Linked DNA regions of Cricetulus griseus. The protein of the gene in region 1 interacts with the protein of each later gene in a pairwise test. Links are inferred from orthologs where the notes say so. Each region holds a gene or a part of one and is shown in the gene's direction. Other genes may lie near its edges.

The links.
Region 2: the proteins of protein N-terminal glutamine amidohydrolase (region 1) and nucleoside diphosphate kinase A interact in binary tests that used the Homo sapiens proteins (3 or more experiments, as listed by UniProt). The two-hybrid records come from large-scale screens. The link is inferred for Cricetulus griseus from reciprocal best matches to the Homo sapiens genes NTAQ1 and NME1.
Region 3: the proteins of protein N-terminal glutamine amidohydrolase (region 1) and Cby2 interact in binary tests that used the Homo sapiens proteins (3 or more experiments, as listed by UniProt). The two-hybrid records come from large-scale screens. The link is inferred for Cricetulus griseus from reciprocal best matches to the Homo sapiens genes NTAQ1 and CBY2.
Region 4: the proteins of protein N-terminal glutamine amidohydrolase (region 1) and Nt5c1a interact in binary tests that used the Homo sapiens proteins (3 or more experiments, as listed by UniProt). The two-hybrid records come from large-scale screens. The link is inferred for Cricetulus griseus from reciprocal best matches to the Homo sapiens genes NTAQ1 and NT5C1A.
Region 5: the proteins of protein N-terminal glutamine amidohydrolase (region 1) and Prps2 interact in binary tests that used the Homo sapiens proteins (3 or more experiments, as listed by UniProt). The two-hybrid records come from large-scale screens. The link is inferred for Cricetulus griseus from reciprocal best matches to the Homo sapiens genes NTAQ1 and PRPS2.
Region 6: the proteins of protein N-terminal glutamine amidohydrolase (region 1) and Pygm interact in binary tests that used the Homo sapiens proteins (3 or more experiments, as listed by UniProt). The two-hybrid records come from large-scale screens. The link is inferred for Cricetulus griseus from reciprocal best matches to the Homo sapiens genes NTAQ1 and PYGM.
Region 7: the proteins of protein N-terminal glutamine amidohydrolase (region 1) and Vcp interact in binary tests that used the Homo sapiens proteins (3 or more experiments, as listed by UniProt). The two-hybrid records come from large-scale screens. The link is inferred for Cricetulus griseus from reciprocal best matches to the Homo sapiens genes NTAQ1 and VCP.

Annotation. Positions count from the first base shown.
Region 1 is NC_048603.1:29,486,347-29,490,549, reverse strand, and holds the start of protein N-terminal glutamine amidohydrolase, read left to right. Parts: upstream 1-1,403; 5' UTR 1,404-1,507; coding exon 1,508-1,596; intron 1,597-4,203. UniProt on the Homo sapiens protein: Mediates the side-chain deamidation of N-terminal glutamine residues to glutamate, an important step in N-end rule pathway of protein degradation.
Region 2 is NC_048600.1:106,879,626-106,883,898, reverse strand, and holds the start of nucleoside diphosphate kinase A, read left to right. Parts: upstream 1-1,473; 5' UTR 1,474-1,632; intron 1,633-2,282; exon of another isoform or gene 2,283-2,342; intron 2,343-4,201; exon of another isoform or gene 4,202-4,204; 5' UTR 4,205-4,208; coding exon 4,209-4,273. UniProt on the Homo sapiens protein: Major role in the synthesis of nucleoside triphosphates other than ATP. The ATP gamma phosphate is transferred to the NDP beta phosphate via a ping-pong mechanism, using a phosphorylated active-site intermediate.
Region 3 is NW_023276807.1:229,960,913-229,964,972, reverse strand, and holds the start of Cby2 (protein chibby homolog 2), read left to right. Parts: upstream 1-1,260; coding exon 1,261-1,335; intron 1,336-1,657; coding exon 1,658-1,738; intron 1,739-2,373; coding exon of another isoform or gene 2,374-2,421; intron 2,422-4,060.
Region 4 is NC_048595.1:29,783,641-29,787,791, reverse strand, and holds the end of Nt5c1a (cytosolic 5'-nucleotidase 1A), read left to right. Parts: intron 1-1,657; coding exon 1,658-1,842; intron 1,843-3,285; coding exon 3,286-3,651; downstream 3,652-4,151.
Region 5 is NC_048604.1:102,122,873-102,127,036, reverse strand, and holds the start of Prps2 (ribose-phosphate pyrophosphokinase 2), read left to right. Parts: upstream 1-1,364; 5' UTR 1,365-1,527; coding exon 1,528-1,649; intron 1,650-1,885; exon of another isoform or gene 1,886-2,017; coding exon of another isoform or gene 2,018-2,118; exon of another isoform or gene 2,119-2,194; intron 2,195-4,164. UniProt on the Homo sapiens protein: Catalyzes the synthesis of phosphoribosylpyrophosphate (PRPP) that is essential for nucleotide synthesis.
Region 6 is NC_048596.1:52,966,922-52,970,421, reverse strand, and holds part of Pygm (glycogen phosphorylase, muscle form), read left to right. Parts: intron 1-1,166; coding exon 1,167-1,278; intron 1,279-1,372; coding exon 1,373-1,455; intron 1,456-1,849; coding exon 1,850-1,993; intron 1,994-2,295; coding exon 2,296-2,388; intron 2,389-2,648; coding exon 2,649-2,795; intron 2,796-2,935; coding exon 2,936-3,099; intron 3,100-3,471; coding exon 3,472-3,500. UniProt on the Homo sapiens protein: Allosteric enzyme that catalyzes the rate-limiting step in glycogen catabolism, the phosphorolytic cleavage of glycogen to produce glucose-1-phosphate, and plays a central role in maintaining cellular and organismal glucose homeostasis.
Region 7 is NC_048595.1:100,551,592-100,555,091, forward strand, and holds part of Vcp (transitional endoplasmic reticulum ATPase), read left to right. Parts: intron 1-383; coding exon 384-496; intron 497-981; coding exon 982-1,146; intron 1,147-1,232; coding exon 1,233-1,355; intron 1,356-1,798; coding exon 1,799-2,011; intron 2,012-2,175; coding exon 2,176-2,484; intron 2,485-2,712; coding exon 2,713-2,868; intron 2,869-3,500. UniProt on the Homo sapiens protein: Necessary for the fragmentation of Golgi stacks during mitosis and for their reassembly after mitosis. Involved in the formation of the transitional endoplasmic reticulum (tER).

The DNA of each region.
Region 1 (4,203 bases):
ATTCAAGCTGAAGCCGAAGCAATAAATTGGTAACAGACACAAACACATGTTTATTTTATTTTAAGGACTTATGGGTTTTGGAAGGCAGCTACATTCACCAATATACCACCAGCACAGCACTTTATGGGTTTTGGAACTGAGGTTGAGAGTCTGTGGGTGGCCTAGGCCTATAAACCAATCTTAAGAAGTACAGTTTCTTTCTCTGTCTCTCTCACTCTCTCTTTGTAGGTAAGTTCCCTGAGCAGTTACACATGTTCATTACAAACACAGGCAACTAGGAAATCTAAAGAGACGGTTCTCTATGTCCTTCAATCACTGTGCATAAACACTGTTTTGACAATGTTGGTGTCTTTCCTTCTGCAAATAAATACAATTAATACAGAATGCTACCCAGACTCTTTAATTTTTTTTTCTTTTGAGAAAAATTCTTATGTAGTTCAGGCTGGCTTTGTATTCAAAGCCATCCTCACACCTCAGTCTCCCGCATGCAGGGATTACCCAGCACCACACCTGGCTAGAACTTGTGCACTCACTAGATCAGTCTATCTTTCTATATATAAACACATGCATATATAAGTACTCGAAAATTGAAAGAAATTAAACAACAATATGGTGAGATTTGGGTGCAACCCCTCGGTTAGTTTTTTTTTTTTTCCTCTTTCTAGGTTCCTGCTCTGAAACTTCAGCTTTCAAACCCAAGCATCTCTTTCTTTCTATATAAAAGGTTGCATATATAAATAGCCAAAATTGAAAGAAATTAAACAACATTGTGGTGAGATTTGGGTGCAACCCCTCGGTTAGTAGTTTTTTTTCCTGCTCTGAAACTTCAGCTTTCATGCCCAAGCATCTCTTTCTTCCTATATAAAAGGTTGCACAGATAAATACCCCAAAGTGGAAGAAATTAAACAACACTATGGTGGGATTTGGGTGCAACCCCTCGGCTAGTTTTTTCCTGCTGTGAAACTTCAGCGTTCACGCCCAAGCATCTCTTATTTTAGAGCGGGCTGGCAGCCTCAGCGATGGATGAAGGGGGTCAGGAAGCTCACACCTGACCGTCCAACACCACCAGGCCTCCCACCCCCCACCCGATGGCGACCAGGTCCACGCAGCGCAGCGCGAGCGCCCCAGCTTGGCCGGGGGAGGCCTCTCCGTGGACCCCACCCTGCCTCCCACCTCGTAAAGCCGGGCGAGCAGCACACAGATCTATCTCCTCCGCAGCCTGGGACTCGCCGCCCGCAGCAGCAGCTCCCGCAGCCCCGCCCCGCCCCCAGCCCGGGCTCCACCCACTCCAGAGACCCCGCCCACCCGGAACCACGCACACACACAAACACCGGGCTCCGCCCCCATGGCGCGCTGAGCCCCGCCCACCGGCTCTAAGCCCTTCCCCCCGGAAACGGCGCCTGGCGGGCGGTCCGGGCCGTGTGCGCTCCGCCCGGGGCGAGTGTGTGCTGTGCCGCCGCTGCCGCCGCTGCCGCCGGCGGGTCGGGTGCCTGTCCCTCGGGCCTCCATGGAGGGCGACGGCCCCGTCGCCTCGGTCCCGCAGTACCAGCCGGCCTGCCCTGCGCGGGACGCGTGTGTCTACAGCAGCTGCTACTGGTGAGCGCGCGGGCGCGGGCGCGGGCGCGGGGCCCCCGGGGCGCCGCCAAATGCTTCCCCGTCCCGGCGCTCTCCGGAGCGCTGCGGGCCCGCACCGTCCGCGGGAGGAGGGGGCGAGCGCACCCCTGCTCCCCGGAGCTGAGCGGAGGCGTCCCCAGTGCCTGGGGACAGACTGAGGTCCCCGTGGTTTCAGATCCAAGTGCAGGGCGTTTTTCATCTTGAAGACAACGGAGACCCAGAGTTTGTTTTTTGGTTTTTTTTTTTTTTGCAGATTTTTTATTTGAATTAGAAACAAGATTGTTTTACATGTCAATCCCAGTTCCTTCTCCCTCCCCTCCTCCCCTACCACCCCCCCAACTAAAACCCTACTTATCACATATCCTTTTTTCTGTTCTTCCCCTGACTCAACTTTTCTGCTCCCTCATGACCTCTGCATCCCTCCTCTTCTTCCCTTCTCATTCTCATAGCTCCTTTCCCTCCTTTTCCCATGCTCTCAATTTGCTCAGGGGATCTTGACTCTTTCCCCTTCTCCAGGGGACAATGAATGTCTCTCTTAGGGTTCTCCTCGTTTCCTAGCTTCTCTGGCAGTGTGGATTGTAGGCTGGTAATCCTTTACTCTATGTCTAAAATCCACATATGAGTGAGTACATACCACGTTTGTCGTTTTGTGATTGGGTTACCTCACTCAGAATGGTTGGACAGAGGGTTCTTTTTTAAATTTTTAATGTTAATCATTTTTTTATTTGAATTAGAAACAAGATTGTTTTACATGACAATCCCAGTTCCCTTCTCCCTCCCTTCCCCCCCACTACCCCCAACTAAAACCCTACCTATCACATGTCCTTTCTTCTATTCTTCCCCTGACTCAACCTTTCTGCTCCCTCATGACCTCTGCATCCTTCCTTTTCTTCCCTTCTCTTTCTCGTAGCTCCCCCCCCCTTCCCATGTTCTCAATTTACTCAGGGGATCATGACCCTTTCCCCTTCTCCAGGGGACCATGTATGTGACCCAGAGTTTGAGGTGGCGGGAAATCCAGTCAGGCAGCAGACAGCGCTGTCCTGATCATCACAGCACTGTGGTGATCATGGTGGTGGTAATGGTTGCATTTGCACCGTCCTCGTCCTTGTCCTCACCAGATGCCAAGCGTGATCTTAGGTGCTTTGTGTAAATGGACTTGGTTGAACGCCACAGCAACCCCCAAGAGGCAGGTACTGTTGCAGTCAGAACCTTGAGGGGGCTGGAGAGATGGCGCATTGGCTAAGAGCACTGGCTGCTCTTCCAGAGGACCCGGTTCAGTTCCCAGCACCCACGTGGCAGCTCACACCTGTCTGTAATTCCAGTTCCAGGGGCTCTGATGCCAGTGTGCATAAAATAAAGTTAAATATATTATTTTAAAATTAAAAAAAAAAGAACTCTGAGGCGCACAAGGTACGGGATGGCTGTTACTCAGGGCCTCAGGTTGTGAGGCTACTTGTCCTAGGCTGCCGCTCGCCGCTCACCTTGGCTTTTTCATCTCCACACCTTTTCTCTTGTGTAGGGACTTCTTCCCCAACCCAGGAGAAACCTCAGGGTCATCCAAATCTACTCCTCCCCCCTTCACCCGGCCACTCAATCAATGACACTACGAACTTAACGTTTATTCATCTGTCACCTTGGTAGCCCAAGTCCAAGTGCCCCGAGTGGTTCTCAGCCTTCCTAATGCTGCCACCGTTTGGTACATTTCCTGATGCTGTGGTGACCCCCAACCATAAAAGTATTCCGTTGCTACTGTAATTTTGCTACTGTTACGAATCATAATGTAAATATCTGATAGACGACCCCAAGGGCTCGTGACCCACAGGCAATGCCTTGGAGACAGGTTCTATGATCATTATCACCAGGACAAGTTGAGGGATCATCTGTGAGCTTGAAAAACCTGTCCATCTTAGGGTTTTACCCGGAGTGTGGATGTACAGGAAGTAGAGTGGGGGGTGGGAGGGTTAGAAGGATGCTTTGCTCGTCTCTCATTTCATTTATTTGTTTGTTCATTTATTTATTTATAATGTGTATGGGTGTTTTGCCTGTGTATCTGCCCATGCACTGAATGTATAACTGGTATCCAAGGAGGCTAGTGGGCTGAGTCTTTGGGAGGAGCAGCCAGTGCTCTTAACTGCTGAGTCATCTCTCCAAACTGCCCCCCCCCCCACCCCCAAGACAGGATCTCACTGTCTGTCCTAAAGCTTGCTACGTAAACCAGGCTGGCCACCAACTCACAGAGCTATGCCCACCCCCACCTCCTGAGTGCCGGGATTAAAGGCCTGGGCTACCATGCCAGGCTTGCTGATCCTATTTTGTGGGATACTCTTAGAGATAGGGAACAAAGTCCATCTGAGTATCAGTGGCTGTCTGGTTTATTTGTTCAAGGCCTGTGTTTTTCCAACCTCATTTTGAACTTACCTTCTCTGGCCTGTTGCAGGGTTCTCAGCTTTGGCTCTGTTGGCATTTTGAGTATCAAGCCTTTGTTCCATGAGTTTTAGGGTAGGTAATTACGTTTCCTGGCCTGTATCAGACAGATGCTATTGCCAGGTTCCCACACCCCCCAAGTTGTGACAGGTAAACACTTCTCTA
Region 2 (4,273 bases), on another chromosome or scaffold:
ATGGTTATAGAGCACCTACTGTTATTGCAGAGAACCAGAGTTCGATCCCCAGCACCCACATCAGATTACTCACAACTGTTTGTAACTCTTGCTCCTGGGGATCTGACACCTCTCTATCTTTGTTTGGGTCTCTATTGCTGTGAAGGGACACCATGACCACTTTAACTCTTAAAAAGGAAAAGATTTAATTAAGGTGGTGTCTTATAGTTCAGAGATTCAGTCCATTATCTTCAAGGCAGGGAACATGGTAGTGTACAGGCAGACTTGGTGCTGGCTACACCTTGATCTGAAGGCAACAGGAAGTTGACAGGTAGTGGGGGGTATCCTGAGCATAGGAAACCTCAAAGCCCACCTCCATAGTGACACCCTTTCTCTAATCACTCCAACAAAGCCATATCTCCTAATAGTGCTATGAGCTTATGGGGGGGGTTGACCACCTCAAACATAGACATACACATGAACACATAAACAATCACAAATAATACCAGATGAGACGCCTTTAATCCTAGTACACAGGGGACATAGACAGGTGGATCTCTAAGAGTTAGAGATCAGCTGGGTCTACATAGTGAGACCTTGCCTCGAAAAAACAAAACAAAACAATAATAATTAAAAAAAAATCCTCTTACATCTCTGTGAGTTTGAGGCCAGCCTGGTCTACAGAGCAAGTTCCAGGACAACCTCCAAAGCAAATACAGAGAGACCCTGTCTCGAAAAAGAAAACAAAAGACGTATAGGAGGAGAAAGCTTTGTGGGGCGTTGGTGGTTTAATCCCAGCACTCGGGAGGTAGAGGCAGGAGGATCTCTGTGAGTTCGAGGCCAGCCTGGTCTACAGAGTGAGTGCCAGGATAGCCTCCAAAGCTACAGAGAAACTCTGTCTCAGGAAACCAAAAAATCCTCTTACAACAATAAAAAAATTCTTCTACTGAGTTTCCTACCATCCAAGGCTACTATAATTCTCCGCTCTCTAATAATAGGCTTGCTCCTTTATCACTAAACTTCATGTAGGTCTATTTGATTTTCACTTCTGCAGCGATTTCTCAACCTTATTTTTCTTCCCTGCTCTGATCTTTCTTCACAGCACTTACATAACTCCGTGCGTTCACTATCAATTTCTTTTCATTGTTTGTCCCAATTTTCAACCCTCCCAGAAACCTCAAGTGAGTTTACTGCTTTATCCCTGGGTTCTAGAACAGTGCCTGCTGGGCACATAGTATTTAGTACATTTGCTGCTTGACAGGGCGAAGAGAAGCGGAGTGACTGGGGCTTTAGTTCTATTCCGTGCAGTGTGAGCGCCACCTCCCGGGCAACCAAATCGTCTCGGGAACGGAGGAAGTGAGTTACACGACAGTAGGGGCAGGAACAAAAGATGGCCGCCAGCCGGAAAAGCCGGGGAGGGGGCGGGGGGATACACACGACAAAAACAAAAACCACACCCAGTGCCGGAAGTTAAACCCTGGAAAGAGTGCCCTCCTACTCACCGGAGGAAGCGGGGACTGGCGGTGTTCCACCAAAAGGGCTCTCCTGAATCAGAACTGTTCCGAAAGGTTCCGTGCGAGCCGCTGCTCGAAACCACGTGAGGCCAGGACGTGTTTCCGGTGCAGCCGGAGAGAGAGACTGGCTTCTGAAGGGGTGAGAGGGGTTCGGGTGCTGAGGGAAAGGGAACGTTGAGGGCCTAGGTAAGCGGAGAGGGAGGTGGGTGTGAAATGAAGGGAAAGGGGTGCATTCTCTGAGAGGCGTTGAGGAAGATCGCGGCCTCGACTGTGGACAGGTGCAGACCTGTCAGCCTGACACGTGGGCTCGCCTTTGTCTGTGGCCGCAGTTCCTGTCAGACTGCGCCGGCACGGCTGTGCCTTACCCTCCTTCCAGCCCTGTGCTGAGCGCAGAGCTTGCTGAATAAATGACACGTGTGTGTGTGCGTGTGTGTGTCTGTGTGTCTGTGTGTGTGTGTCTGTGTCTGTGTGTCTGTGTTCGGTGTGCAGAGCCTTTCATAGGGGCTGTTTCTGAGGGATCTATTCTTGTTCCACATTCCTTCAGAGATTCTCCAGCTTGTCTGCGGGTTCTGTCTGTCTTCGGAAGGCATGATTGGCCTTTTAAAGCATCTTCTTTGCTCCTATTGACTGCCAGGCCCTGTGGCTTGGAATCAAAGCAGGGGCTGGAGTAGATCAACTCTTTTATGCAGGTCACAGATCCGAGAGGCGGGAGAGGGGAGGAAGGCACCAACAGAAATGATCATTAAAAGATTATGTATTATTGTATGTTCCTGTGCATGCATGCCTTAGCACACTTGTGAACACACCAGAAGACAACTTCGTGGAATGGGCCCGAGGGACCAAACTCAGGTTTGTGGTACAAAAACCTTTGCTCACTGAACCATCTAGCTGGGTCAGGCCCCATTCTTTATTTTATTTTATTTATTTTTACTTTTGGCTTTTAGAGACAGGGTTTCTCTGTGGCTTTGGAGGCTGTCCTGGAACTAGCTCTTGTAGACCAGGCTGGTCTCTAACTCACAGATCTGCCTGCCTCTGCCTCCCGAAACCTGGGATTAAAGGCATTCGCCACCACCGCCCGTCGCAGGCCCCATTCTTAATGTATAAAATCAGAGGTTAATTCATGTTTAGGCAGCCAGGTCCAGGAGCTGGTGTTTCTATCCTCTTAGGTATTGTCTTTCAAGGTGGAGTCTTCTTTCATTTTGTGGGATTGTGTTCCCTGGAAATGGAAGGTTCTGGAATGGATGCTCTCCAGGTGTCTTCCCTCAGTGATGATGAATTGTGCTGTGGGTCTCCCATAAGCCACTGTTCATTGACTACTCATTGCACTTTCCCCCAGTACACAGTTTAATAAATGTTAATTGCTATTCTTACTAATGGACCTTCAATTTTCTTGTCCTTTTATTCTCTGACAGTTTTATACATGTATGTAATAGTTAGTCATCCCCCTCCTCCATTACAATCTTTGGCTCTCCTGTTCCTGTTGAACTCCTTTCCTGTGAGTCCCCTCCTACCTTCATGTCTTTGTGTGTGTGTGTGTGTGTGTGTGTTGGGGGGGAGACTGAGTTTAATTAGAATTGCGTGCTTCATTGATGGAGGAGTTAATTGCTGGAGCAGCTTACCCATGGCTGTATCCCTGAAGAAAATGATACCCACTCACCCACAGCCGTTAATCACCGTTAGCTTCCTAGGCAGGGGTAAGGCCTTGGGCCTATGAGTCCCTCCCCTTCTGTGATGGAGCATAGTCATTGCATCTTTTCTCTCTTTTCTCTTGTTTCTTGAAACAGAGTCTTATGTAGCTCAGTTCAGGTTGGGATCATTGACATGGGCTACCACACCTCCCCACTACGCTCAGCTCTATTTTCTTTTCATTCCCCTTTTTTCTTTTTTGAGTCAGGGTTTTAGGTTGCCCAGGCCAGCCTGGAATCCTCTGCCCTTTGGCCTTAGCCTTCCTAGTGGTAGGATTATTGGCACACATCCTCAGTCATTACATCTTAGGGAGTATCCCAAACTGTATAGGGCTGGGAAATCTTATTCTTTGTAGAATGAAGATTGTTGGTTTTTTTTTTTTATTTTTTATTTATTATGTATACAACATTCTGCTTCCATGTATATCTGCACACCAGAAGAGGAAACCAGATCTCATAACGGGTGGTTGTGAGCCACCATGTGGTTGCTGGGAATTGAACTCAGGACCTCTGGAAGAACAGTCAGTGCTCTTAACCTCTGAGCCATCTCTCCAGCCCCCAAAGGTGGTTGTTATGACATAGTCTCTAAAACTCTTGTGGGTTCTAATGCTGTTGGTCATACTGTGTTGAATCAGATGTAACTTTCAGTAGGAAAACCATATCATTGCATTTTCCCCTTACTGGTATTACCACAAGAAAAAAAAAATTGGTATCTTTTTAGTGTGTCTTAGTTTTATGTCTCCCTTTTTAGTTCTATCACAGTATTAAGTACATAACAGAAGCTCAATAGGAGTGTATGAAATCAAGTAGATTAGAAATTACATTTCTTCTTTTGAACCCTTTTCTACTTTCAGATCAAAATTCATTGATGAGTGAACTGGGCAGGGATTGGGATTTTACTAGAGAGACTTAAAGTAGACATAATATATTAAATCCAGTTTTATGAGAGAGTAATCCGCTTGAGAAGGATCATGATGAGGGAGGGTAGAGATTCTGTCCTGTTTCATTCCCTGCTTATCTCTCCAGGACCATGGCCAACAGTGAGCGCACCTTCATTGCTATCAAGCCTGATGGGGTCCAGCGGGGTCTGGTGGG
Region 3 (4,060 bases), on another chromosome or scaffold:
CCCACAACTAATCATTGAACTGAACTGGAATCCAGATGCAGAAAAGGACGAGTGAAGAGCAAAGGGGTCCAGACCAGGCTGGAAACCCACAGAAACAACTGATCTGAACATGGGGGAACTCTTGCTCCCCAGACTGATAGCTGGGTTACCAGCATGGGACTGATCCAGACCCCAGGAACATGGGTTTCATTGAGGAAACCCCGGAAACCTACTCTCTTCCTACCCCAAGGGGCAAAATCACACAGAACTGGGGCTCTTAAATGGATCTGGAGGTGACAGATTTGACAGAGCTAAGGATGGAGGGATGAGTGTTCTGGCCTTAATGCAGGTTCTACATGTGATATGTTTGGTTGTATTTTTCTATCAGAACAGTGTTTCTTAAACCCTTGGGATTTCCTGACAGGACCTCCTTTGAAACACATCAGTTTATGCTAGGGGAATGACTTTGGGGGTGGGGGGTGATTGTCAGAGGAACCAATCAGGTGATTAGAAGGTTGGAATTTTCAGCAAACGTCTACCTCTGGAAGGATTTGACATTTAGTTAAGTGATCAAAGGCTAATGATTTGATAAAATTTGCCTACATAATGGAACTCCACAAATACCTCTAAACAACTGGGTTCAGACATTGAAGATGCTGGGAGGCAGGTGTGTCCAGAGAAGGCCAGAAGGTTTACGACACTACCCTGTCAAACAGCTCACCCTTTATCATTACCATTTGGCCCCTCCTGAGCTGCATGCTTCTTAAAGTTGTGATCCTAAGTAAATTACTCTCCTGTGTTCTGAGAGACAGCTATTGAACCTGAGGAGCAGCTTAGGGTAACCCCTGCATGGCTAACCAGTTACAAGTACAGGTGGCCCTGATATGGGATTGGTACTTGAAGTAAAAGATCATCTTTTAGGGCCGAGCCCCTAACTTCTCGGAACCTGACATGTAGCTATTATCAGAGTGGAACTGGACTGGAGTTCCTCAGTAGTGCCAAGTCTCTCCAGGTCTAGACAGTTAATGTTTCTCTTTTCCTAATTAATGTGATTGAAACAGATGCCACCTCTGATGGGAGGTAGAGAGGTTCAAGCCAGCCTGGCAGTGAGGTGTGAGTGGCAGCCAGCTGACCAAACAAGGGCTATTGTGTGTCACACTGACCCGGGCTGGCCACCTGAGCACAGCCAGCAGCAATTCTTCCTTCCTGCAGAAGCCTCGTTCCCACCTGAGATGCCCGGAGAGAAACCATGAGCTCAGAAAAACACCATATTGTTCTGTGATGTCACCTCTGGAATGTTCTGAGTGTTTTGGTGACCAGCTTATGCATAGGACCTATACCTGGCACCTCACATTGGTATGGCTTTTTACTTATATAGAAATCGTAGTGTAAAACCAGGAAGAGCTGCAATGATTTCTTCTTGTAAGAGGGCTTCATATCAGTTCATTCCTGTCTTGGTTTTTTGTTCAGTGATCAGTGTCGATCAGTTCCTGATCACTGAGCAGTAAGACTTCTGGCCAGGCGCCATGTACACATGCCTTGAGACTGTGATTTTTATAAGGTATAAAATTAGTCAGAAGGACATAAATGTGTAGAAAGAGGTTATGTGTTTCAGGTGAGCCACTGAGGCCCTGAGGATGGGTTGAGAAGGAGAAATCTGATTCTTTCTTTTTCACAGCACTCGAGGCCAATTTTTACAAGAAAGAGAGATACCAGATCTGAAAGCCTAGAAATTCCAATCAATGTGGTTCTACCTCAGGTAGGGACAATCATGGAAGAATGTAACTTGCTAGAATAACCCTGTTTCCAAGCCTTACAGAATGAACAGCGAAGTCAGCCACTCAGATTCTTGTCATGTTGGTGTTGTTTTCCTGCCCATTTGTCTTGAGGAGGACACATGGATTCTCTGAACCTTGGGGTCCTCTGGCCTTGAATGAGGAGACTGAGTTGGATGGTCAGGTCCTCCAGCACTAGCCTTTCAAGATTTGTTGATACTATGACAAAAGTCTAACCTTCCCAAAGGAGACCCTTCATTGCATGGTAGTGTATAACCACTCAGGACATCTGTAGAGAACTAGAGTCAACCTTGAATCCAGATGCATAAGAATGAACACAGGAGCTGAAACCCCAGAATGGAGCCCACTTGCAATGGTCAAGAGGATTAAGCCCTGCCATGGGCCAAAGATGGTTTACTGGGGATGAATGTTCACTTGTTTCTTTTGAAGCCAGTGAATGATTAAAACACTTATAGCTTGTGGTCTCCAGATCTCCTGCACACAGCAACTTTCTCAGTGGGACCCCCTTTTACTTGAGTGTTCCTTCTGTTGCTATGTCACAAAGGGGTGGCCTTGCTTTCTCCAGTGTTACCCAAGAGCTCATTGGAAGACCAGGGTCATGCAACCAGTGGAGGAGAAATGTAGGATGGAGGGATCCAAGGCACAGGTAATTTCCCTAAAAGTTTGGTCTCAGGAGGTATGTACAAAGAGGATGGATCTCTGGCTGGTGTTCTCTATTAGTGTAATTATAATGAGCTCAGCAAATATGGTGAGAAGGAGACAGAAACACAGGACAAGAGAACCACCTGGGTATTTTTTTTCCTTACAGCATTGTAGTAAGCAGCCACAGTTACATCTCTTTCAGCTCATGATAGCTAAGCCAGATTATTAGGCAACTATGTCCTGGGCATCCTATAGAAGAACAAGGAACCTTGCTAGGTCTGATCCCTGACACATAAACTACACATCTGTGCATGAGGGTGGCCGTGGTTCCTTTGGTACCTTTATTAGCCCACATGTTAGGGGCAGACAGGAGATACCAGCCCAGATGTGGGAGTGGGAATGGGGCTGGGAATAAGATTTGAAAGTAGGTGTATTACTTGCTGTTCACATTGTTGTGACCAAATACCTGGCAAGAAGCAAGTTAAGGGAGGAAGTCTTTATTTTGGATCTTGGTTGAGGGGTAAATCTGTTGTGAAGTGGAAGCTATGGGGTGGGGCCGCTGCCTCACATCACTGCAGATCCATGTTTTTCTCAGTCCAGGATGCTAGTTCATGAGCACTGTAAGACCCTTGGAAAGCTGAGGCTTCCAGAATCTTAGCCCAGGACCTCGGCCACCCCAATCACAGAATGGAGGCGAAAGCTAGATGCAAATTGCATGAGGCTTTATTGTAGTTTAACGAGCTAACACCATGTTAGCTCGGGTCTTTGACCCACCCACCATGGCAGATGGCTAGCAAAGACAGTTTGAAGCTGCTGCATACAGATCTTTATAGGGCAGCATAAGGGGAGTGTTTAGGGGTATGCACAGGCTCAGGATTGGTGTGCCTCCAGGCTTGGAGGGTTTGCCCTGTGTTGATTGGTCAACTGGCTGTTATGGCCCATAGGCCCTCCCAGGGTGGTTGCTATGCTTTGTGCGTCATTGCTGTGCGCTTGTCCATAAAGCACACCCAGGGTCATAAAGCATAGCGCTATCAGCTAACTTCTGATTGGCTCCTTGTCACGAGGCAGGCATCTGACTTTCTAGTGACTAACTTCTGATTGTTTCCTTGTCACGAGGCAGGCATCTGACTTTCTAGTGACTAAGACAAGGTCATAGAGCACGTGTTTGGTCATTATGGCTGCCAAAAGGGAAGCTGGTCCCTTCAAGCACTAGCCACATTAAGTATGGGCCTCCCCTCTGTTAGTCCTTCCCCATAAAGTCCCCACAGACACATCAAGGATGTGTGCCTTGCTAATGCCCTGGGTGTTTCTTAATCTAGCAAGCTGACACAAAGCCTTCATTACTGCCATGCCATAGAAAGATTAGAAAGATCCATCTACCCCTGGCATGACTTTGTCCCTAGCTCCCAGCGCCAGCTTAGCAGTCAAGGAGAAAAGGTGTTTGAGGAGTCTTGGGTTTGTTCTGGTCCTTTCAGGCCTACTTCCTGTGCTGTGGGACCTGGATCTTGGAAGGCAGAAGAATATGGAAGGAAGAGGTCACTGCTGTCTGGAGATTTTTCATGGCCAGCCAGGCTTAGTCAGCAGTCATCTCTAGGTCACTTAAGTAAGCAGCTGGTGTTGAAAAGCAGGAAGAGGATAATTCT
Region 4 (4,151 bases), on another chromosome or scaffold:
GTAAAGTGAAAACAAAGCCCTACCTAATCCTCCTTCCCATCTCCTGCCCCACAGTGTACATTCATCAGCATCACCTAGCCCTCTGTTTCCATAGAAACTTGCGTTACAGCCCAGAATGCTACTGTTTTCCAAGATTCCTCTGGGCTGATGGGAGTTCTGATTCCTATGTGATCAGGAAACTTCTATCCATCACTGGGCCAATGAGAAAGAGGGAAGGTCCATATTTAGCCCAGCCTGAGTGGTAGGCTTTCAGAAATGGTCATCTTCCACAGCTGGGCTGGCCAGTGCTATGGTGAGATTAGGGGACTCTTGATAATGAAAAGTCCATTCTCTGTTCCCCTTTCAAGGGGCAGTTTGGGGTGACAGACATGGTCTCAGTCCTCCCAACAGGAGCCCACAGAGGAGGGAAGACTGACTGCCCATTTGCCTGGATGTGTACTCAGGCTGGACACTCAGGTTTCCTCTGTTAACTGCCCTCTTTTCCTTTCCTTGTAGTCCCTCTGTAGGTGAGGCTTTCTCTAATCAGGACCCAGAGGGCATTTCCTTAAACACATCACACCCTTTGTTTGGGGTTTGGGAACTAACTAACCTGCAGGTGTGCCTCTGTGCATGTGGAATTTGACTTTTGGTCTTGGGAGTGTGGTTAGATGGATTTCCTGCTCAGAACAGGGTGCTTCTGGGTCATCTTGGCATTAGGTTGACAGAGTTGAGAAGGTACATAGCCTGATACTCAGGATGTAGTCCTACCCTGGGCATCCTTAGGCTAGTGAAGCTGCTGTCAGACCTGTACTGATAGCTCTTGCCAGAGCTCTGTGGAAGTCTACCTCGGTGATCCTAGATTCCCAAGGAGCAGGGTAGAAGAGTCCTGTAGAGAGATGATAACTATTGAGGGGGATTCAGCTGATTTTAATCTGGAGTCTTGGTCCCTGACTGGTGTCCTTGCATTGCAGTAGAACAGTGGTTGCAGAAAGTCTATACATAGTATCACAAGTAGCTTATATTGTCTCCCAGGACCGAGCACATTATCTCACAGTCTGAACCAATGTGACAGCAGTGTACCTGGGTGCTGGGTGGCTGAAGACAGGGTGTCCACACCCACCCATCTCTACTGCAGCCTGAGGGCTCAGCCTCATACAGACCTGAAAGAACCCTAATTTTACCTTGGCCCAGAGAAAGTATATAACTTGGAACCAATAGCGAAGGAGTGGCTGCGTCTCAAGGTGTGCTTCCCTGTCTGCTGCAGGTCCGTCTGGGGTGAAGAACTCCAAACAGAACAGGGTGGTAGCAGTCCTGTGCTCCCAGCCAAGACTGTTGTTTGGCTAGTCCATACCAGCATCATCATCAATGTTAAATTGTTCAAATTTTTTCATGCTGGCTGATAAATAGCTTTTCAGTGTCCTGCTGCCCAGGGACACCCCCAGAGCTCTCCACGAAGATATTAACGAGGTGGCCTTTAGACCTTGATGGGTACCCTCAAAGCTATAGCTGCTGCGTGTTCTTGTAGCCAGTACTCACGGACTACCGATTTTAAAATGTCCTCAATATGATGAGTCCTTGTTAGGCTTGCCTTCAGTCCTGGGGAAGCTGGTGGAGCAAGGACAGCATGAGATACCTTCTCCTGTCTCCTGGAAGACAACACTTACCTCTCTGTGTGCAGGGATTGCAGCTGCCACCATCTTCAGCCCCAGCAGGGACGTGGTTGTGTCCCAGAGTCAGCTCCGCGTGGCCTTCGATGGGGACGCAGTACTCTTCTCTGATGAGTCAGAGCGCATTGTCAAGGCCCATGGGCTGGACAGATTCTTCGAGCATGAGAAGGCCCATGAGAACAAACCTTTGGCACAGGTGCTGCGCATTCCCAGAACCCCTGAGTAGCCCTCATTCCCCGGAACCTGGCCTGGCCTGAACTCCCAGGTCAGGGCCAAACCCTGGCTAAGCCCGCATCCCCACCAGGTCCTCTTACCAAGACTCAAACCCCCACTCCCCCACACCCATCTCTGCCTTAGGTTTTTCAAGGCAGGGCTTCTCTGAGTAGATCTGCCTGCCTCTGCCTTCTGAGTTCTAAACCTCTCTCTCACTTGGCCCCAGGGTCCTTTCAATGACTCTGCCCCTTCACTGAGTCCCACCCCTCATGCAGTCTCCTTCCCCGCCTCTTGGGGCTTCTAAAGTCTCCCCAAGCATCTCTCTGAAGCCTCCCCTGCCTCCCTGCTTTGTTCCTCCAAATCCCTTTCTAAGGTCTCATCTCCTTTCAGAAGCCCCACACCCATTCTGAGTCCCCACCCCTCCCTAAAACTCGGAGTCACACCCCCAATCCACTGTCCTTTCCCTGTAACCCTCAGCTCTTCCCTCAAGATCCCCTTGTGAGCGAGCACCTACCCCCCAGAAGCCCATGTTTCCTTCACTGGGAGACAAGAAGAACTCTATTGTACTGGTGTGGGGAGCTGGGCCAGTGGCCTTGGGCCACCTCTTGCCATGCCTTGCTTAAGTGGCTCAGGGAGCCTCACCTACCCTCATACTTCTCAATTGCTCTCTGAGAACAGAGCCTGTCTTGGAGCTAAATTCCCTGTAGATGGAGCATTGGGATTCTCCAGCCCTACTGGGAACTCCAGTTTGAGCTTTTTAGAAATCTAGGTGCCCAGGGCAGGACACTTTTCCCCCTGAGTGGTTGATAGAGAGCTGCCAGAGGAACACTGCTTACCCCAGGTTACCCAGTTAGGACCCCCCCCCAAGACTAGCAGCCCATTTTCCTTGTTTCCAGTTGCTTTGGAAATGAGCTACATTCTATCCCGTTAAGTTCTTTATTCACATACCGGCAGTACCTCCATTGCTGTGGACACTTTCCCTGACCCCAGGGACCTTGAGCCACATGTGGGTCTGTCTGTCCACAGGCAGGCTCACATTCAGTAGCCCATCTGGCCCAGATAGTCACATATAGAGTCCATTCTGGCTGGCAGGCTCCCATGACATCATTACTAGCTAGTTTAAATTCCTTCTTTGCTAATGAACACAGACAGCCACACTTACAGGACAGATCGCTGAAGGAGACGTGGATAGATAAGCCTAGCAACAGTTGCCCTGGTTATGGTTATTCAGACACAGCCCCAATCACGTTAAGACAGACTCCAGACTACAGGTACCTACAACCCTGTATGTTGTAGCCAGAAAGGCAGAGCAAAACTACCAAAAGATTTAGGGATTTCCCACCCCAACAGCCAGTCACTTGTGCTTTAGGATGAGAGGGCAAGTGTTTAGGAGAGGGTATCTTACAGTATCTCCTTAACTCCACAGGGCCCCCTGAAAGGCTTTCTGGAGGCACTGGGTAGACTGCAGAAGAAATTCTACTCCAAAGGCCTGCGGCTGGAGTGCCCGATTCGCACTTACTTGGTGACAGCTCGCAGTGCAGCCAGTTCTGGGGCCCGGGCCCTCAAGACCCTGAGAAGCTGGGGCCTGGAGACCGACGAGGCCTTATTCCTAGCCGGAGCACCCAAAGGCCCCCTTCTTGAGAAGATCCGCCCACACATCTTCTTTGATGACCAGATGTTCCATGTGGCTGGGGCCCAGGAGATGGGCACAGTGGCCGCCCATGTGCCTTATGGTGTGGCCCAGACACCCCGGAGGGCGGCTGCTGCAAAGCAGACTCTCAGTTCCCAATAGCAGAGTCACTTGCTCCAGGCTTCCTCTCACACTTCTGAACCTCATCTGGAGAACTTTCCTGGCCTCCTCACTGTCCACCCTCCTGCATGCTGCCCTCTCCCCTCTGCTTAGGTACTGTAAGGAACTTAGGAAGACTGGGCCAGCATCCTTGCAGTCCCTGCTGGGCAAACATTGCCATGATCCTGACTAGGAAAGCAGGACTCTGCAGGGTAGCTTAGATGTCATGGGGAAATTAGTGGGGCTGAGAGTGGCACCGTCAGAGAAGCCAGGATGCCAAAGAGCTTGGGATGAAAACTCTCCCATGCAGTGCACAGAATGTTGCGTGAGAGAGGGTGGATTTGGCATGAAAAGCAGACCTGGCATGGACTGCATGACTTAAGTCCCCCTTCTTTTTTTTTTTTTTTTTTCATAAGCCTCAGTTTATCCCCCTCTTTTAGGTGGTTTCCAAGCCGACCTTTAGTCAAAGCTTGTTTTCACAAGACTGTGCCCTAAATGAATCA
Region 5 (4,164 bases), on another chromosome or scaffold:
GGTGTAGCTTAAAACCCACAGTAGGTAGATTGTTGCTGCTTCAGTTGTTTTTGAGACAATGTCTCACTAGGTACCACAGGCTGGCCTGGGATTTTTGATCGGCATCTTAAACTCCCAATTGATGAGCTTACTTACATCATCACCTTGGCTTAAAAAGTGCAATAGGAGATACACACCTTTGTAAACAGAATGAAAAGGGGCAGGTAAGCAGGTCATTGGAGTTTCAAAAGAAACACTTTTATAAATCCAGTTTGCTTGGGTTTTGACAAACAGAGCAGACTGGCCTTGAACTCACAGAGATCCACCTGTATCTGCCTCCAGAATGCTGAGATTAAAGGTCTGCATCACTATGGTTTACATCCAATTTGCAAAGTACTAGAAAGGATCCAGATTTTAAATATCCAAGGATATGAACAATCTCCCTAATCACAGTAACACAGGAAGTACCTTTAGAGTGGGCTACAATTCAGCTGCAAATGGCCTTGGCTGTGGATGACAAGTCAATTCTCTGTAGACATTAATAGAGCCCAAGAGACAGAGTGTTGTGAAGGGAGCCAGAGCACCAGCCTATCTACATAAAATGAGGACTCCAAGCCCATTGGGTGGAGTCAATGGGCCACCTGAAAACAGGTTTTCCCCCCTTGCACTTGAGCTTAGGGCTCAAATGGTGGCTCACATTAATGGTTCCTTCAAGGAGCAACACACTTAACTATTAGGAACCAGACGCTAAAATTTTCAGGCTTCGTGGACCAAGAGGCAAAACAGAAGATTTTGCGTAGGCATTTATATAATATGGAAGAAAACGAATTTTCAGCTATTAATGGAAAATCGAAAACAAAGTAGTATTTGAGATAATTTTTCAAAATACACGTCTAAATTAATGAGAAAGGGAATTCTCGTTGGTGGGAAACTCTTTTGCCTAGTCCAGCTTCAAAGGTAGTGTACACCGTCACACAAAGTGAAACACGCTTCACTCTCAGGTGCAAATTCAGGCCGCTGTGTGGGTCTCTCCCACATGGACGCTGGGTGCACTTGAACCCTAAGTATAACCTCTGGGTTCTGAGCTTCCGGGTTGAAAGGCGAGACACCCCTATGGCCCCTTGCCGCAATCGCTCGTTCTCTGTGCCCACTCCATCTGATTCGTTGATGTCCCCACTTGAAAGCAAGTCAGAGAGGTAAAGTGAAGTACATCGCGTTCCCCTCCAAAACAATCGCACCTGGGTAATTCTGGGCCACCCAGAACTTCACAACCTGCTGCCCAGCCTGCGTGGGCAGAAGCCGCTTCCCAACACCCTCCAGCAACTAGTCCGCTGCTCCTCCTCCTCCTCCTCTCTCTCTCTCTGGCTCCTCCCCCAGCTCCTCCCCTCCCCTAGGTCCCGCCGCCGCGTTTTCCCGCTCCACCAGCAACCGCGGGCACCGCCGCAGCAACAGCAGCGCCAGCGCCAGAGGCAGTAGCAGCAGTAGCAGCAGTCTGCGTCGCTGTCGCTTTCTCTTTTGCAGCGTGCCCCTCAATCCCCGCACATCACCATGCCCAACATCGTGCTCTTCAGCGGCAGCTCTCACCAGGACCTGTCGCAGCGCGTGGCCGATCGCCTGGGCCTGGAGCTGGGCAAGGTGGTTACCAAGAAGTTCAGCAACCAGGAGACCAGGTGGGAGTCACATCGGGGCTGAGGCAGGAGCCATCGCATGCCCGGGCCACCTCCGAGGGCGCTGCGCTCACCCTTCCGGGGCGGGACAGCAGCAACGCGGCGGCTTCAGAGCCACCGCGGCTGCGCCCAGGGAGAAAGAAGTCCAGCAAGGGAACCCCCCCCCCCCGTCACCCTGGAGTCTCTGCGCGCTGTTGTCCCTCTGGTGGCCCGGCCTCCAGCACCCTGACTTCGGCGACCTGTCGACCCCCTAGGCACCCCAAGCCCCTCTTTTGCGCCTGGTGTACTCAGTCCGGAAGGGCGACATCGGTGCAGTCACAGCGTGTCTGAAAGAGTGGGCGCAGCCTGTGGGCATCACATCGGTGCCGGGAATGGTGGGGGCAGGGAGACATCTGTGGATCCGCCCGCCCCAGTTTCCGACTCTGTCAGGCGAAGCCCCAGACTTGAGCTTGGTCGAAAAACTTCTGCACAGGTCCGGGGCACTGGGTTTACCTGGGGAACTTTCGAACTTCCAGCCGCCGGCGATCAGAGTGCTGCCAGCTGCTCAGGTGACTTTCCCGAGCAGCCTGTGTGTTGAGCACTGCCTTATCCAGAAGGGTGGGTTTGTGTGAGAGTTGGAAAGAGCCTGTGAACGCAGGACGCACGTGTTGGGCGCCCCTGGGCTTCCTTTAACTTTACTGCATCAAATGTCGCGAACTAATAGCTTCTTTGTGTTTATGGAGCTCAACTGCTTACAGCCAGCCGCCAGACCCTAGTTTGGGAAAAATTCCACCCATTTCACACGTGAGCAAGAGGTGGTCACCAGTATTCAGTGCAACCAGGCAGGCAGTAGCCCTCCTCCAAAAGTGGACTGGGGTACTCCTTGTCCCAAGGGAGACCAATTTCTTTTCCTCATTCTGTTTAACCCAGGTAACCAACTATGCAGTGCACAGTGAAAGATAACAATTCTACATTTTATGTTTGGCAAGGTTAGGGTTCCAAAAGTTTACAGAAAAAAAATACACACACACCATTCTCCATATTTACAAAAAATTAATTAAATGGATCATAGACAGAAATGTCAAATCTAAAACTTTGATGTTTCCAGAAGAAAGAAAATCTTGACGACTTTAAGTCAATCGAGATTTTGTGAAGTTGGGGACATTTTTTGTTGTTGTTTTATTTTGGTTTTCTGAGACTGGGTTTGTCTATAGTATCTAGGAGCGTGGTGAATTCATGTGTAGCCTCCGGCAGGCCTCACACTCTCAGACCCCTGCCCCTACTCCCAAGTATTAGAATTACAGGTATCTGTGGGACCAGACCCAGCTAAGAGTCAGGCTAATATCGATGGCAAAGATAATCTTTTTCTAAAGGCTGTGTGCTTCACATGTGACCTTTTCTAGGTGGTAAACTCCAGTTACACACCTTGGATGATAATAGGAGGAGCAGATGGCAGATGTTATTACTGTGTAGACAACTCAGGCTAAGAATGTTCCTTTGGGGTTGGGGATATAGCTCAGTTGGCAGAGTTGCTTGCCAAACATGCATGAAGCCCTGGATTTGGTCCCTTGTACTATATCAAAACAGGATGTTGTAGCATACACTACAATCCCAGCACTTGCTTGGAAGAATCAAGAGAAGCAGGGATTCAAAAGCATCCTTGGCTGCATAGGGGGATTGAGATCAGCTTAGTTAAACATATAAAGGTCACTTTGCCTTTGTTTGTTTGTTCTCAGTATTGAGGATGGATCCCAGGTCCTTGTGCATGCTAGGCAGGAAGACTCAACTACTGAGCTACATCCACAGCTCCCTTTGTAGAGTTTAATATATGGAGGTTTCTGGGACTTTGGAGAAGAATGGAGCTAGGTTTGAATATTGCAGGATTTTGTCAGTCCTGGCCAAGTTTCAGCAGCTCTGAGAACACTAGTAGAATAAGCGTCTTTGTTCAGAAGGTGTTGTCATGTAAATAAAGGAGACATTTCTGGATGGAGGGAGTAGGTTTTGAAAGTAAGTAAGGCTACTCTTCCTTGTTATCTCAGTGCAGCACGATTCTTTGCTGGTGAGCACGGCTACTCCAGATGAGTGCCTTGCTGGGTTAGTATTGGATTTCTGCTACAAGTCCTATATGGGCTGTTGGGTGAAACTCACTGGGATGTTCAAATGCAATTGTTCATACATTTATTTGAAATAGAAAGCAGACTTGTTTTTATTTAGTTTGGCTCTCTTTTAACCAGGTTTGACCATTAGAAATCATAAGGTGTCCAAGACTCCTCAGCTCTGTGTTATGTTTCTTGTGTTTTGTTAGTTGGGCTGGGTTTTTCTTTTATTTGTTGTGGTTGTTTTGTTGTTGTTGTTTTGTTTTGTTTTGTTTTGTTTTTTTTTTTTTTTGCTTTTTGCTCTCTTTGTGTCAAGGTCTCATGTAGCCTAGCCTGGTCCAGAGCTCACTGTGTTGGTAAGTCCAGCCTTGAATTCATGGTCCTCCTGCCTTCACCTCCCAAGTGCTGGGATTGCAGACATATACAATACCTAGCTACATTTT
Region 6 (3,500 bases), on another chromosome or scaffold:
TTTGCGCTGGGGACCTGATAAAGGCAACAGCTTAGAGAGGGAAGCAGGAGAGGAAATGAGGCCTCTGGGGTGGAACTGGCTGCACGGAGACCCTTAGACCTTCAGAAGTGATGTTTATTGCTCTTTCATCTAGGGCCCAGTCAGTGCTGCTCCTGGCAGCCTGGCACATTTAGCTCTGGCTCGAAGTTTGCAGACCTACCTGCCTGCCTCCCTTTGGTTTTCAATCTAGTGTCTGTGGTGTTGGGTAATGGGGACATGAGCCACCTGGTCATTGTCTGTCTCACCTGCATTCCACTCTGCCCCATCAAGGGTGTTAATACCTCAGGGTCAGGGAGGGAAGGTGAAGCCCCATATAGGCAGTCCTCTGGAGGTGACCCTGGCATTGTGGTAGCAGGTAGGTCTTTGTAGCAAATTGATCCTTATAGATTATGGGAGGTGAGGCTGGCTGGCTTTGGTTATTGCTAACTAGCCCTGTAGTCAGCTAGATATAAAACCTCTGGATAGAACTGACCCCGTGTAACCTTCCTCTCGAACCCAGGTTTCCCCAGCCCTCTCCTGAGTCCAGTGTGCTCTCACTTGATCAGGCCAGGCTGTAGAGCAGCCATCAACAGAGACTCACTTGGGTGGGGTTCAGCGTCTGTCCCTCTCTCCCTTCCATAATCCTCATTGCAGTCTAAGGAGATGTTGGGATGTCCAGTGGGGATGTTGGAGAGGTCTTGTTTATTTATCTGCACTGCTGAAGAGTGTACAGTCCTTGAACCTGCTTGACAAGTGTCTTACGCCTGAGCTGTATCCTCAGCTCTCTTTCTTTTACTTGACACAGGACCTCACTAAGTTACCCATATTGGCCTTAAACTCACCCTGTAGCCTAGGCAGGCCTTGAACTTGTGATCCTCTGGCCTCGCCTCTCCAGTGGCTGGGATTCCAGGTCTGCAGCAGTACACCTATCTTCTTTTTATAGATGAGGCTCAGAGGTCCCACAGCTTGCTCCTGGCAATCTAACTAGTAAGCTCTGTGCTGGAACTACCTCAGGCACTAGCAGAGTTCAGTGCCAGTGGCTTAAGCCTCAGCTGTTGGTCAGGGAGGCCCCACAAACCAAACTCCAGCACTGCTCAGGCCTGGACCCTGGTGGCATGTCCAGCTTCTGACTCAGGTACCTCCTATAGGTAGTGCTGGCCATGCCCTACGACACACCTGTGCCTGGCTATCGAAACAACGTTGTCAACACTATGCGCCTCTGGTCGGCCAAAGCACCTAATGACTTCAACCTCAAGGACTGTGAGTCCCTCTGCCGGTAGCTGGCAGCCTTGGTTAGCCCTGCCTGGCCCATGCCCATATCCCTAGCCTCACCCCAATCCACTTTGTCCCTCAGTCAACGTTGGTGGCTACATCCAAGCTGTGCTGGACCGAAACCTGGCTGAGAACATCTCACGCGTCTTGTATCCCAATGATAATGTGCGTTGCCCTTCAGTTTGGAGGCTGGAAACCCAAGTTCTTGGAGAGGGACAGGGGAGCTGGGCGTGGGGACCTTTGCAACTGTCCTAGTCCCACTGTATTGCTGTCCCTATGTGTCCTATCAGATCCTTTGAATCCCAAGGAGGGGGTGGGGTATGATATTTCCTGGGAGCTGTCTCCCTGGGGACCCTCACAGGACTCCTAGTTCATCTATGTCTTTCTGATACTATCTGCTACAGTTATTTGGTGGGGCAAAGGCTCCAGGGTCCAGAAGATGGGAGCAGTTTAGGGCTCTGGGACTTAGTGTGGTAGGGGCTCTCCTGGTCACACCCACAGCAACTTAGGGCTCCACACCCTGCCACCCCAACTACCCTCTGCCTTGTACCTCCCTTAGTTTTTTGAAGGGAAGGAGCTTCGGCTGAAGCAGGAGTACTTTGTGGTGGCCGCCACCCTCCAGGACATCATCCGGCGCTTCAAGTCCTCCAAGTTTGGCAGCCGTGATCCTGTGCGCACAAACTTTGATGCCTTCCCCGATAAGGTAGCCTGCTGGCCCGAAGGCTTCTGTCTCCCCATCTCTTAAGTCCCATGGCCTCCTCCTTCCACAGATGTGTGGAAGCTGGACGTGTGTGGGGGAATGGCTTGCTCAGTATCTTCAGGCACCAGGCAGACCACTGCAGCTTTCCTTCTCAGTCAGCTGCACCCTACTCCAGCTGTCACCAGGCCTGCTCCCAGACCAGCCACATAACTACATTGGGCCTTTTAGGGGCTCTGAAGGGGCAAGGAGCATTCACAATGGTGCTTGCTCTGGGATCCATCCTGACGTCCCACTCATCCCCACAGGTGGCCATCCAGCTCAATGACACCCACCCCTCTTTGGCTATCCCTGAGCTGATGAGGATTCTGGTGGACCTGGAGCGGATGGATTGGGACAAGGTAGATTTCATTCAATTTACCCTTACAGGTGCCACTTTGCCTCCAGGGTCTCCTTCCCAGTGTGAGGTGGAAGGACAGTAGGGGGCCAAACAAGGAGAATCGACCAGAAGGCTGGTTGAAACCCAGCTGGGCTCTGGCGGGAGTTGGGGGTGGGGGTGGAGGTGGGGACACGCCGGACACGACACAGGACGACGACACGCGGACGCACAAGCTACACGGCGCGTGAAGAACGTGTCTTGACTTCTTTCCTTGTATGCCAGGCCTGGGATGTGACAGTGAAGACCTGTGCCTACACCAACCATACAGTGCTGCCGGAAGCCCTGGAGCGCTGGCCCGTGCACCTCATGGAGACACTGTTGCCCCGGCACCTGCAGATCATTTACGAGATCAACCAGCGCTTCCTTAATGTGAGCTGGGCCGGTGTGGCAGTGGGTCCCTTGAAGTCAGGAGGCGTATGGGCTGAGCCTGTGGGGGGAAGGGGGGTCTGGAGACTAAGGTTCCTGGGTCAGGATCCTGGTCTTAGCTCTGGGCTCTTTTGGGGATACAGAGGGTGGCGGCCGCATTCCCTGGGGATGTAGACAGGCTGCGGCGCATGTCACTCGTGGAGGAGGGCTCAGTGAAGCGTATCAACATGGCACACCTGTGCATTGCTGGCTCCCACGCAGTCAACGGTGTGGCTCGCATCCATTCGGAGATCCTCAAGAAAACCATGTGAGCCTCTCCACAAGCCCCGCCCACACCACTCTTCCGCATGTGGACCCTGCCGTTTCACATGGCATCAAACAGGGCCTCCTGGGCTGATCCCTCCCCTGAGTGCATCAGTTCTAGCCTTTCACTCTGTGGTCACGCAGGGCAGGCCTAGCGGCAAGCATCCATAACGCTGAGCCGTCTCCCCACCTCAGGGGTGACCCATTCTTAGAACACACTAGCCCCTTTCTGGTACAACCCTGTTCCAGAATCTGCCCCAGGTCTGCACCTGCATCCTAGCCCCTCTCAGGAAAAAAATAAGTAAATAAAGTAGGGGGCCAGGTGGGAGGGCTCTGCAGAGGTGAATGGTGACCCTCACTCAACCCCAATCTGCAGCTTCAAGGACTTTTATGAGCTGGAGCCTC
Region 7 (3,500 bases), on another chromosome or scaffold:
TTGTTTTTTTTCTATTCTGTATTCCCTCTAGAGCAGTGGTTCTCAACCTTTCTAATGCTGCCACCCTTTAATACAGTTCCTCATGTTGTGGTGAGCTCCCTGATCATAAAATTACGTTGTTGCTACTTTCATAACTAATTTTGCCACTGTTACGAATCATAATGTAAATATCTGATATGGGAAGGGCCCTTTGACCCCAAAGGGGTTGTGACCCACAGGTTGAGAACCATTGCTCTAGAGTAACTACCCGTCTTGGTTTCCCTAAACCTGAAGAATTTCCAGGTTGTGAGGCATTAATGTTAACTCTAAATAAGAGAGTTTTGGAGTGACTTCACTGTGGACCAGAAATTGTTCCTATTTTACATTCCTGCATTTTCCCACAGGTCGCTTTGACAGAGAGGTAGATATTGGAATCCCTGATGCTACAGGACGCTTGGAAATTCTTCAGATCCATACCAAGAACATGAAACTGGCAGATGATGTGGACTTGGAACAGGTGGAGTGGTGATGATGGCTGGCCAAAACCTTGGGTAGCTCTGTTTTTAGGAAGTTGCAAGGGACTACTAACATAGTCTAAGATAAGAGTTCATATCAGTAATCCCAGAATTTGGGGAGGGTGAGGCAGAGGCAGGAGGATCTTGAGTTTGAGGTCAGTGTGGGCTACCCAGCAAGAGTCTATCTTTTCATTTTTTTTTTTTTTTAGAGCTGCATGGAGCTTATTTTGATTTCAGGGTAGAAAATGTGTTTCTTAATTGTTGCTCTGTTAAGAGTAATTCATACATTGTTGAACAGCTTTATTTCTAGCTCCCAAATCCAGGCTTAAGTATTTAATACTTGCCACTAAAAGGTCTGCTGTAGTATATATCTCTTTAAGGAAATAAAAGGAATCAGAGATAGGAATCGGGGTGGACTCAGGATTCTGTTTCTGACTTCTTAAGGAAGTGGTTTCTTGAGGATAGTCAGTAGATCTTTTCTCTGCAGGTAGCCAATGAGACTCATGGCCATGTAGGTGCTGATTTGGCAGCCCTGTGTTCAGAGGCTGCTCTGCAGGCCATCCGGAAAAAAATGGACCTTATTGATCTTGAGGATGAGACCATTGATGCAGAGGTCATGAATTCCTTGGCAGTTACTATGGATGATTTCCGGGTAAGGACTATATCCACAAATAGTTATTTTGTTGTATGCACCCCCCACCCTCCATCTCATTCCCCTTTTTCAAACACCCTTTTTAGTGGGCCTTGAGTCAAAGCAACCCATCAGCACTTCGGGAAACTGTGGTAGAGGTGCCACAAGTAACCTGGGAAGACATTGGAGGCTTGGAAGATGTCAAACGGGAGCTTCAGGAACTGGTTCAGGTAGGCCAATTTGCTCTAGGGTGGTGGGTCATTGCCTCAATGTATAGTAATTGGCCGTTTAGGTCTCAGACTCAAATCTACTTAGAATTGTGACTATAATTCAGAAGCCTGCTCTTACTGAGTTTTAGGTAGTAAGGAGCCTATTTAAAAACTAGCACCATAGACCATAGGATGTGCCACAAAGTAGATGATATGCTTCTGATTTTTTTAAAAGATTTTATTTATTTATTATGTTTGCCTGCATGCCAGCAGAGGGCACCAGATATCATTCAAGGTGGTTGTGAGCCACCAGATAGTTGCTGAGAATTGAACTCAGGACCTCTGGAAGAACAGTCAATGCTCTTAACTGCTGAGCCACCTCTCCAGCCCTATGCTTCTGATTAATAACGATTTTATTTAAAATATTGAGAGGTTGCCCTTAAATCATCTTTGCTTTCTTCTAGTATCCTGTGGAGCATCCAGACAAATTCCTCAAATTTGGAATGACCCCTTCCAAAGGTGTTCTCTTCTATGGACCTCCTGGTTGTGGGAAGACCTTGCTGGCCAAAGCCATTGCTAATGAATGCCAGGCTAACTTCATCTCTATCAAGGGTCCTGAGCTGCTCACCATGTGGTTTGGGGAATCTGAGGCCAATGTCAGGGAAATTTTTGACAAGGTGAGTTTTCAGAGGCTGGCTGTTCATATGTTTGGGGGCAAGGTAAGATAGGAGGCTATTTCTTCATAGTCAAAACTATTTTATTACTGGCAGCTCAGTGATTGCTTTCTTCTGAAGTTTGAGAGATTAATTAATATTTGAGTTGATCTCTTTCTTTCTCCCAGGCACGGCAAGCTGCCCCCTGTGTACTATTCTTTGATGAGTTAGATTCAATTGCCAAGGCTCGTGGTGGTAATATTGGAGATGGTGGTGGAGCTGCTGACCGAGTCATCAATCAGATCCTGACAGAAATGGATGGCATGTCCACAAAAAAGAATGTGTTTATCATTGGAGCTACCAACCGGCCTGACATCATTGATCCTGCTATCCTAAGACCTGGCCGTCTTGATCAGCTCATCTATATCCCACTTCCTGATGAGAAGTCCCGTGTTGCCATCCTGAAGGCTAACCTGCGCAAGTCTCCAGTTGCCAAGGCATGTGCAAAGTTGTCAGCCATGAAGCCTTTTTTTCTATCCTGGATAGGATGCCATTGGGGATTTGTAGGTTTTCTAAAGGCAATATGAGAGATTTGTGAATATTAGGATAATTTAAGAGATACAGAATAAAATGGGGTGGCAGAGCCAAGAGTAGCTCAAAGATCTATGTGTCCCATGGGAGGCAGTTAACGATGCTAAACTAAGTAGCTTTTTTGCTTCCTTTAGGATGTGGATTTGGAGTTCCTGGCTAAGATGACAAATGGCTTTTCTGGAGCTGATCTGACAGAGATTTGCCAACGTGCTTGTAAACTGGCCATTCGTGAATCTATTGAGAGTGAGATTAGGCGAGAACGAGAGAGGCAGACAAATCCATCAGCTATGGTGAGTCAGTATCTTTGTTCAAATGTGCCATTCTAGGGACCATCCTCCATGACCCAGAGTTGAGAGTAGAAGGTATTAGGAGGGTCCCTTTACTGAGATGTTAAGCAGGGAATCCTAGAAAATGAATAAACAGCTAAGCTGGGTGTGGTGCAGGCATATTCCAGCTCTCGGTGAATGCAGCAAGATGAGAAATAAAGGGCCCTACATGAGACTTTTAGAGATAAAGGGTTGGGTTGGGTAAGCTTGATGCCTTGAGGGAAATGAAAGTATGATTGTGCAACAGAACAGAACAGGGTTTTTTATTTATTTAATTTTATTTTTATATGCACTGGTGTTTTGCCTGCATGTATATGTGTGTGAGGGTGTCTGATTCCCTGGAACTGGAGGTATGGACAGTTGTGATCTGTCATATGGGTGCTGGAATTGAGCCTGGGTCCTCTGGAAGAGCAGCCAGTTCTCTTAACTGCTGAGGCATCTCTCGAACCCTCTGGAAAAGGATTTTTAAACTGAAGTCTGGACTTCAGCATCCTGGTGGGGAAGGGAATTCTTGTACTCTCAAAATAGAAAAATTAAGTATAAGAATGTAAAAACTATGAAATTTACAATTCTGTCTCTACTGTAGTTCCACTGTT